Drosophila melanogaster: one gene and its partner. The protein of the gene in region 2 purifies or fractionates together with the protein of the main gene of each other region. This does not show direct contact. Each region holds a gene or a part of one and is shown on either strand. Other genes may lie near its edges. The genes, in order: raptor and REPTOR.

Region 1 (4,890 bases), on a different chromosome or scaffold from region 2:
AGACGTCAGATCCCGGGGATCGGGGCACATCACGAACGAGGCGGCGGAGACGTGACCGCGCATGTGTTCAGTTAGATATACTGCCACGAACTGTGACTCGAAGAGCACCACCATCCATTGCAGGGCGGCGGCCAGCTCCATGCGGACCAGCGGCGACATATCCTCGCCGACGGTTTCGAGCATGGTAATGGCAATGATGCGATCGATATTATTGGCCTGTTCCTCGCTACGATCCGTCACGGAGCTAATAAATGTGCCTAAGGCGAAGACGGCAGCGGCTCTCACTTCCGGTATCGAGTCCCGCAGCAGTACGTACAGCTTCTCGTGCGCCAGGTCGCGTGCTCCCGACCAACGCGCCTTCTCAAAGTTCTGCCACAGCATGCCCAGACAGATGGCTAGCCACTGGCGCAGCAGCCAACTTCCGTCGTTCAACTGCTCAAGGCAAATAGACAGTAGGGGACCTTGAAGCGCGCTCGTCTGTCCCAGCAGGAAGTTGTGCACTATGGAGGACAATACAAAGGCGGACAGTGTACGGTGCTCCTTGGAAACGGAGGTGTCCTGCAGCACGGAGAGGAAGTACTTGTATTCCTTGACCAGATCCACCTGGCAGCTGGGATCCACGGCCAGGATCTTGGCCCAAATGAACACCAAAACGGGTCGCAGTTCGCGCGTAGAACTCTGCAGCAGTTTAAGCACGTATGGAAAGATGCCCACGCCCAGGGCGAGATTAACGGCCCACGGACCAAGATCCAGAAAGCGAGCCAGCAGCTCCAAGGCCCTCAGACGGTGCACCTGCGACAGTAGGACCTGCAGCACAATGGGCAGCTGTTCCGGTGGCGTTCTCGACTCCGATTCGCTGTCCAGCCAAACCTGGAAGGCCGTGAGCTGGTGCTCGAAGAATGGCAGCTGGCGGTACGGCGCATTGTGATCGAGAATCTCCGGCAGCTGCTGTAGAGCCAAATCTACCACCAGATCCCAGGCCTTCCACATCGGATGGCGATAACAAGGCGGCAGGGCAGGCAGGGAAACTGGTGTGCAGTCGTGGCTTCGCAGAATGCGCTCGGCCAACAGGAAATTGCGGAACAAGCTGGCCACCAGCAGATCCTGGCGAAACAGGCGCTGAAAGAGCTCGCGAGGAAGTGTGTTCCATGCTATCGTGTCCGTAATGGCGGTGAAGATCCAGTTAAGCTCACCCATCATAGTGCGCCGGTCGTTGACCTTGCCTGCGATAGAATTTAATGGTTAACAGCATTCCCTGGGTGAGTAAAGGTATAACCTTACCTGGAATCTTGTCGATCAGTTCGCTCTGAATACGCGGTACCATGCCCAGCTTTTCTTGCATGGCGTACCACTTGAGCGCTATGTTAATGGGTGTTGTCAGACAGCTGGTGAAAAGATCCGCCGGCAGCTGTGCATTCATCGGAAGAATCTCGTTTGCAGCACAGGCAGCCAGGTGTATACAGTTCTTGTAACTGACCATCTGGTTGGTTAACTGCACCTGGTTGGCGGCTACGTTGGCGGCACCACCAGAGCCGCCCACTAACTGTTGGACACCACCCCTCTGCTGGGCGGCGGCCAGCGCCTTCCCTAGTTCTTCCTCGTGCTGTTTAGCGTATGGCTGAAACGAATTGATGATGATCCCGGCGTTGGAGCAGTCATACACGTAGATGGAGGGCGCTGACATCCAAGTGATAAGCTCGAATATGCTCAGGGGGATGTACTGCGTGAAGGTCTTGTTGAACACCCAGATCTCCCCGTTGGCTGTGGGCTTGGGCACTCCGTGTCCGTTGTAGTGGAAGAGTATGCGCTCCCCCTTGGCGTTCCGGCGTAGGGAGGTGCAGAGCTTCTTAACGTCATCCACGGTGGGATCGTTGCACTTCTTGTACCGGGCCCTTGGCTGCCAGCGTTCGTACTGCATCTGCAGGTTGCTTCCAATGAGTTCCATGGCCTTTGGCGGGGACACCGAGCTGGGATCTATCCAGCACTCTAGCCGTGAGCAGGGTTGGATCTTGACCACGTCCGGCGGATCCACGCCGATGTTGAGGCACAGAACCAGGGCCACACTTGCCGTCTTCATGCGCTCGCGGATGCGCCACGGCTGTCTCTCGTACATCATGGCCTGGATGCGCTCCTTGTGCCTTTTAGTCTGCAGGGAGAGCGGGCACCTGTCGTCGCGGATACGCTCGCCGAAGCATAAGCTCCGAGCGGGCGGCATGCCCAGGATCTGTATTTCCTTCAACCGCAGTTTGATAGAGTCGTCCCGGGGCCATTCCTTTCTGATAGTCCGGATTAGCTCCCTCAAAGAACCGAGGGAGGCCAGTTCCTGGCCGTTGGAGGCCTGAATGTCGGATATTTGCTCGATGTGCTTCACGATTGGTACCAGTGATTGGTCCTGCCTCATGTTGCTAATCACCTTACCCAGGTCGTTCAGAGAGTCGTCCTGAGATGGGTCCCGGCCGATGGCCACCTGGTTCCCCAAGGCGGCGGATCGACAGTGCTCGATGTGCTCCAGTTGCTCCATTATCAAGATTATCGGATCGTCCCACGGGGCGAATACATATTTCTCGTATCTCTTGCGGATTAGGACGCTCAGGACGGCCTCCTTGCTGGAGGCCACCTCTTGATCCGCGACGCTGCCGTTGCTGCTGCCGCTGCTTTCGTCGACTGCGACGCCGACTGCGGCAGCGGCGGACTTAGCGCGAACGGCACTTGTCATGTTCTGCGTGCTTTTTGTTTCTCTCGTTTCTCGCTGTATTGCTTTTTTTCTTTTTCCGTTTGCCGAGGAGAGGGTGCAGCTCAATGCGAGCGATTTCCCGGAGCGATTACGTCTCGGTCGCGGATTCAATCAGCTAAAAATCCCCCCGAGGGGACTCTAGCACATAACCCCAAACACTTTTCGCACTTTCCGCACCTCCACCACCGCCAGCGCCTCCTCAGCTCCGCTCCGCGCTTTTCTGCTTTTCTTTCCACGTTCCTCTTCTCCACGTTTTCCGCCTACGGATCGCGGACCATTTCCCGAAAACGGGTAAAAAGAACTCGGGGAAAACACGCCGCCTGGGCTGATTAGGTCGATGCCGGGACAAAATAAAAACCGTACAACTATAGCGAGCGATCTCCGACGGAAGATGGTGCGCATTAACAGGTTTATTTACTTTCGCTTGGGTTTATTTATTTATGTTTAATCGAATTATATTATACGAAAAGAATTGCGCAGAAAATAGAGCTGGAACAAAAATCGATGATTTTTTCGATTGCACGCTGGCAAGCGGTTTACAACATTGATATCGATAATAAACTAACAGCGAAATGGCCTAGCTGTAATGAATGGCGTTGCCAGATCATTACAAGCTCATTTGTAGCGCGTAATTCAAAAGTTTGTTTTGGTTACATTGACAGAAAAAACTAAAGGACTGCTCACCCGCAAAACAGGATCCTCGTGCAAAGGCGGCGGATATCGTACAGTATGGATGCGATGACGGCCGAACAAACCCGTAGCGAAGCTTTCCGCACTTTTCAGCGTTCTCTGGGTCGCAGTATACTTGAAGTAGTACCACTCCGGATTGTACAACTCCGGAAGTAGATCCGGAAATCGCCGCTGCATCCGTTCCGCCAGCTCAATCAGCTCATCCTCACCCTCGGCCACCAGTAATTTCTCATCTTCAGTGGCATTCAGATGCATCCAGTGCCATTGGCGCAGCTTTTCCAATTCAGCGGTGCAGATCGGCGGCTTCGTCTGATCCAGAATGCGTTTCTTTATCTCTGATAGTCGATTTTGCGCCTGAAGGATAACGGATTCGCTAGGATTTCTAGTTCCGTGTCGGATGATGGTCCAAATTCGCGTCGGATGGCAGCCTTGTCGGGTGAAACGGTTAAAAGAGAAAAATCAGCTGTTCCATTGCCATTTGCTAGCAGTAGGCATCGGTAATAATAAACTAGTAATAGTATAATAACAAATCTAAAGCGATTCTCTGTTTTATGATCAATAAAGAATCCATATGCTTTCATGATTATGAATTCACTGTATTAAGCGAGCGCTGTTAACTGTCACATGGCACAACACATGTTTGTATTTCTAAGCGGGTGCCTACTGTGGGTGCGTTACACAGAAAACAACAAAAATACAAACCGGCGTATTTCGGTGGCGTTTCGTCATAATTTGCGATCGCTCTGTAGGGCGTCTTTGTGGACAGTCTGCCCTCGATATCTGCGCGATTAAGGCGGCGGCACTCCCCCTCTTCAGACAACGTCACGCCCACGAAGAAGTGGAGGAGCAACAAAAACAAGCAGTAAAATTGGCTTAGCATCTTTCCGGGCGGTGGAAAAACTTGTCACGAGATTAGAAACGAGGTTTACCGAAAAACGGGGTTAAAACGTGAAAAACAGAACGAAATGCCAGCTCAAAAGAAATCTAGGAAATAATAAACACGAAAGAAAAACAAATTGACAAGTGTGCTAGTCGCGCAAGGTGGCAAGGCTATCAGCTCAGCTGGCAGCCCTAACACATGGGGCAGCCAAAAAAAACCCGTTTCCACCGCCAGTTGGCGGTATTTTTAAATAGCATCTTCGATGGCATCAGTTGTAAGTGCTTGGTTGATTACTCATTTCAGGAAGCTTTATTAACACTATTTTATAATAAATTTAGTTAGATTTGCAGGTGCCTAAATCAGCGCATTGCCACTCAACAAGTGTTCACTTCGCCCAATCGAGCTTTCTGCCTCAAAAAGCTCTGTTTTAACCGGCCCGGCAAACTAAGCGATTAAAAAATGGTTTAGTCGCACGCCAAACACGCAAAAGGAATAAGCGTTGGCAAGGGAAGCATTTTGAATATCCTGTCCAAGAATAAAACGAGAAACTTACACACAACTTAAAATTGCAATAAATAATTAACAC
Region 2 (4,884 bases):
CTTTGAACCCAGCGATGTCATAACAAGCATCTAATTATGCGAGTGACAAATGATCCAAGAAAAGTGCATTTTCCATCCGGACCGTCTCTTGAAGAAAACTTTTTCGAAAATTTGATGAATTAACCTTAATTTCCTGTGTCAGTGGCCGGCGGCGTTTTGAACCCAACACTTTCCTTTTTTTTCTTTTCGCCTCGGGCGGGGGGCTGGAACGAGTTTCTATCAATGGATCCTTTGTCCAAGGATTTGCACGTGTGCACAAATTAGCAGAAACTGGTTACAAGGCATTCGCCTTCTGTTTTCCGATCGAAAGAAAGCGGAGAAACTAGTTTTTCCAGCGGGGCGCTTTTACACAGCATTGTTCTAAGAGGATAAGGTTCACAAAGCAGGGGGGAAAAACCAGATGGACCAGGAAAATTATGAAAATTCCATTGTTTTCCTCTAGTTATTTGTTGGCCTAGCGGGGTGTAAGTCCCCTAGACTTTCCCTCTTCCTATTCCTCCAGCAGCTTGAAGTCGGTAAAGTAATAATTAAGGAATTAGTATACGCTAGTTTTCCCATTAAAGAAACTGATTGGAAGTTCCAGGATCGAGAAGGCAATTCCAACTGAAGTTCCTCCACTCAGAAGCTTCCCTAGCAACAACCCCAAGCGTATGAGTCATTGGAAATCCCAGGATCGGAACACGTGGTGCCGAGGAAATTCCATCGAATCAACCGAATTGAAATTCCCTTTGCCATTCAACAGGATTTCGAACAAAAGGAATTTGAATAACTTTGCCCTATGTTGTTCCAGCATGTGAAGGAATTAAAAAACGCTTTAAAGAACCCGAATCACTGTGCCAAAATTCTACACTGCAAACAATTTGGTACATACATAAACAGTAATAAATAATATTTCAAATATATCAAAATCAAATAGTCAATATTTGTGGTATTCGTAAATATGAAATTTTGCAATAATTTTTTAGCCTAATTTTCCGCACATAATAGTTCGTTTTTTCGTCATAATTTTATAAAAAACAGCCACAATATGGAATGCCATATCTCAAAAAACTCGTTATAAAATTCTAAATCAATTGGCATTTAAATTTGAAAATTTTTTTTTTTGTTAAATTTTTTTCAAAATTTTATGATGTTACCCCTTGCAAAAAATCCAAAATTCATAAAATTTTGAAATTCCAAATATGAACAAAAAAGTGATATAGATCGTTAGTTGGGATAATAAGCTGCACAAAACTATCAAATGTTGTAATGTGAGTACATTTTTAGCCAAGTTATGATAAAAAAGGCGTTTGAAAATAGCAAATTTCTTGTGCTGATTTTACATCTATTGGGAAATTTATTTAGAGTTTCAGATATTGGTAATTTAATAAATATTTTTGACAGTGCATGACACAAACCAACCCCTCAATTTCCGAGCAAAGACCAAGGGGGAGGATCAATCTGTGGATTGTAAGGGGTGCTTGGAACACACGTACTCAGCATGGGATGCGTGTAAATTTCTAAGCCATTACAATGTCATGTCACTGGGTCCTTGGAAGCACCCCATTCGCGAGGAAAAAGCCAAGGAAATGCACAAGGAAGGGCCAAGGACAAGGGTTGAGCTTGCTCTGGGGGTTGCTTTTGGACCAGCGAAGGTTTCCTTGGGGTGTCTGCGCCATCAGTTTATGGTTCTCCCCCTTTTTTTGGGGGGGTTAAGAGGGCCATGTGTCGAAGAAGGCCAAGCACTGATCTTAGCCTGTCTGATGCAAAGAACATTCAAAAACACAAAGTGCCCAAGAAAAGTTGAAGAAAGTTTTCATGCTCAAAAGCAAAATAGGCAAACTTTCAGAAACAGATATTTGATATTTTTACCCTTATCTTAGGGAAATAAAGAATTAGCATCTTTGCGATGTCCATTGCGTGTAATATCTGCCGTTAACAACAAATAACTAAAAACTAGTTAAACTTATAAAGAACTGTTTTTCATGCATTTAAAATGAGTAAACTTGAAGTTTAAAAAACTCAATTAGTCAATACCTTTTAAAAAAATCAAAGTCTATAGCATAATTTAAAACCACCTTCACTTTATGCATTTTTAAGAACAAAGGAGTATAATATGTATGAAAAGTGCACAATTACAACATTAAAGAGAATATCAAACAAATAAATTTACTGCATTATTTATTTATTTATCAAAGGCGCATAATTGATCAAATTAGCACTTGATTGCTAAAAGGAAATAGAAACTGAAAATTATGGATTTACATACACTAACGCAAATTAAATTTACGATTGTGTAAATTGGCTAAATCTTCATTTGCACACAAAGTAACATCCAAACGAACGGCTCTTTGTTAGAGTGCAAAAATAATAATCTAACGAAGTGCAATTAATTCAAAATGAAGCGAAATAAAAGCAGACCACGAAATGGCACACAAGGAATCGAAAAGAAGAACGTAGAGGGGCAGGGGAGAGAGAGGGGGAGTAAATAGCAGTGTCATGAATGAATGCGATGTGCGGAAGTGTGTATGTGTGTCAACGGGAAAGAGATAGAACGAAAGCTGATTGCGGTATTTGCATCCCGCCGCGAGCGAGCGAGATGGAAGCTGCAGCGAGCGACAGGCGCGTGCATGCGCCAAATGCCTGATTGGAATGGTACGTACACATTTCAACATTTCCACACGTTTCTGCAGCTGAAAAGCTTTTGGCGCCAATTTTGCGCCAAGCAAATTGCAGTGCAGCAGCACCAGCAGCAACAACAAAATCACAACAATCAGCCGCAGCAGCAGCAGCTACAAGCCAACAAACAAACAAACTGGTTTTTCATCGGCTGACCGACAATTGCGGCTGAAGGCGAAGGGCAGGCAAAGCAGCTGAAAAAAAAAGGAAAACCACCGAAATCCCAATCCACAAATGCACAAACCAACACGACTGTGGTGTTTTTGTTGTGGTTAAGAGAGTTTTATGCTAATTATTGGGGGCGGGGCAACAAACACACACCACTGGCGTCCCACTCGATACACATATACAGTTGCTTACGCTTTGTTCGCTGTAACGAAAGCAGCAACAAAGCAACCAAAAGCAGAACCATTTACATACACACACACACATCGATACTCTATTGCTTACAAAGCAAAAATCTTAGAATGCTTCTATTTAGCAGATGATGTCACTTACCTATTCTGGTTTTGAAGCCAAAATGTGCGGCACACTTTAAACTTGATAATTACAATGGGTTTTCCCCAGTTACACGGTTTATTCCGTGGTTTTGAAACGATTTTTTGGGAGCGACGAGCAGGTCGCAGGTGTAGATGAAGACTATTTACCATTCGCTTTTGCTCCGCTATTCTACACACAGGGTTGCATTGCGCTGGCGACCAGTGTTGCAGGTGGCACGTCGATTTGGCGGGAAAGTGGCGGGCATTTCGAAAATCAAATTTTTGTAAATAAATATTAAATATTATATTACCTATTTACATTCTTTATTTTCCAAAATAATTCAATAAAACAAAGAAAACGATCAATGTAATTGCTCTTTTCTTTTTTACAGGCAGTGCCTACATCTTTATTGCAACACGAAAGCAAACAACGCTTGCAACATTCACATATCCTCCACGCTGTACTTGTAGGCCTCATCCTGCACGGCCCGCCGTTCGTTCTGTTTGTCGAACCAACGCTGCTCGTAGCCGTTGGATCGATCGACGCCATCCCAGCGATATCCTGGTCGGATGCCAAATCGGTTCTCCGGAAAGCTGCCCTCGTACTTGGGCATCACCGGCTTGTTGTCCTGCTGGTCGCGTTTCTTGCGCTTCTGGCGCATGTACTCCAGCATCGGGTCGTCGGCGTGCTCCTGTTCGCGCAGATGCCTGTCCAGATCCTCGTCGTTGGCATAGCGAGCCACCGGTTTGGAGGCCTCATGGACCATCTCCTCCAGGCGGGACTTGTGATCTTCTATTTGCTTCAACCCCTTGCCCCAGCGATCGTACAGTTCCTTCTTCTTTTTCTCGTGCTCCTCTTTGCGGCCCTGCTCGGCGGGATCCTCATTGGCGGCATCTCGTGCTCGGTGTCCCTTTCTGCGAGTACTGCGCACCTGCACATCGCCATCACGACCGGAAATTTCGCTGGACATTTTCTCGAATAGTTCATGTTCTTGTCGACGCCTTTCGTCGGTTTCCTTCTTCAGCGATTTCGCATCCTGCAGTCCAGCTTTCTTGCCATCTAGTGTCTTGGTGGATTTCGGCTTGTGTGTCGGAGGTGGAGATGCTGATTTGCTGGGCGATGCCTTGGCCCAGCGACTTTTCCTTTCTTCCTTGAAGCGATTACGAGGCGGTGGACTGCGCTCTCGACTTCTGTGATTTCTGGCCGGGCTTTGGTCGGAGTCGTGACGTCTGCGTGGTGATTTGTCTCGTTTTCTGGTTGGACTTTGGTCGAAGTCTCGTTTTCTTCGCGGTGGCGATTGATCTACATCCTTGGGTCTTCTTGGCGGGCTTTGATCGGAGTTTCTTCTCCTCCTTGGCGGCGTTTGCTTGTCATCTCTGCGTCTTCGGGGCGGGCTTTGATCTGAATCCCGCCTCCTTCGCACTGGAGACTGGTCATTGTCTCTCCGTTTCCTAGGCGGACTTTGGTCGGAGTCTTTCCTTTCCCTTCGCACCGGAGATTGATCGTCTGCTTTACGCCTTCGAGGTGGGCTTTGATCGGAATCTTTCCTCCTTCTGGGCGGAGTTGAATCCTTGTCTCTACGTCGCCTTGGCGGACTCTGATCGGAGTTACTTCTGCGGCGTCTGGGTGGCGATTGATCGGAATCCCTTCTCCTTCGAGTGGGTGATGCTTTTCCCGTTCGTTTTCTTGGCGGACTTTGGTCGGAATCCCGCCTTTTTCTGACTGGCGATTGATTGCCATTCCTGG

What was found.
Region 1: the proteins of REPTOR (region 2) and raptor purify together in Drosophila melanogaster (affinity purification with western blotting, with the first as the bait; one study listed by BioGRID). This does not show direct contact.

Annotation. Positions count from the first base shown.
Region 1 is NC_004354.4:6,086,991-6,091,880, forward strand, and holds the start of raptor (raptor), read right to left. Parts: upstream 3,212-4,890; 5' UTR 2,717-3,211; coding exon 1,282-2,716; intron 1,224-1,281; coding exon 1-1,223. Other genes in the region: Mipp2 (multiple inositol polyphosphate phosphatase 2), read right to left, coding at 3,419-3,852, 4,127-4,304.
Region 2 is NT_033777.3:24,579,557-24,584,440, forward strand, and holds the start of REPTOR (repressed by TOR), read right to left. Parts: upstream 3,309-4,884; 5' UTR 3,157-3,308; intron 1-3,156. Other genes in the region: CG13625 (uncharacterized protein), read right to left, coding at 3,581-4,884.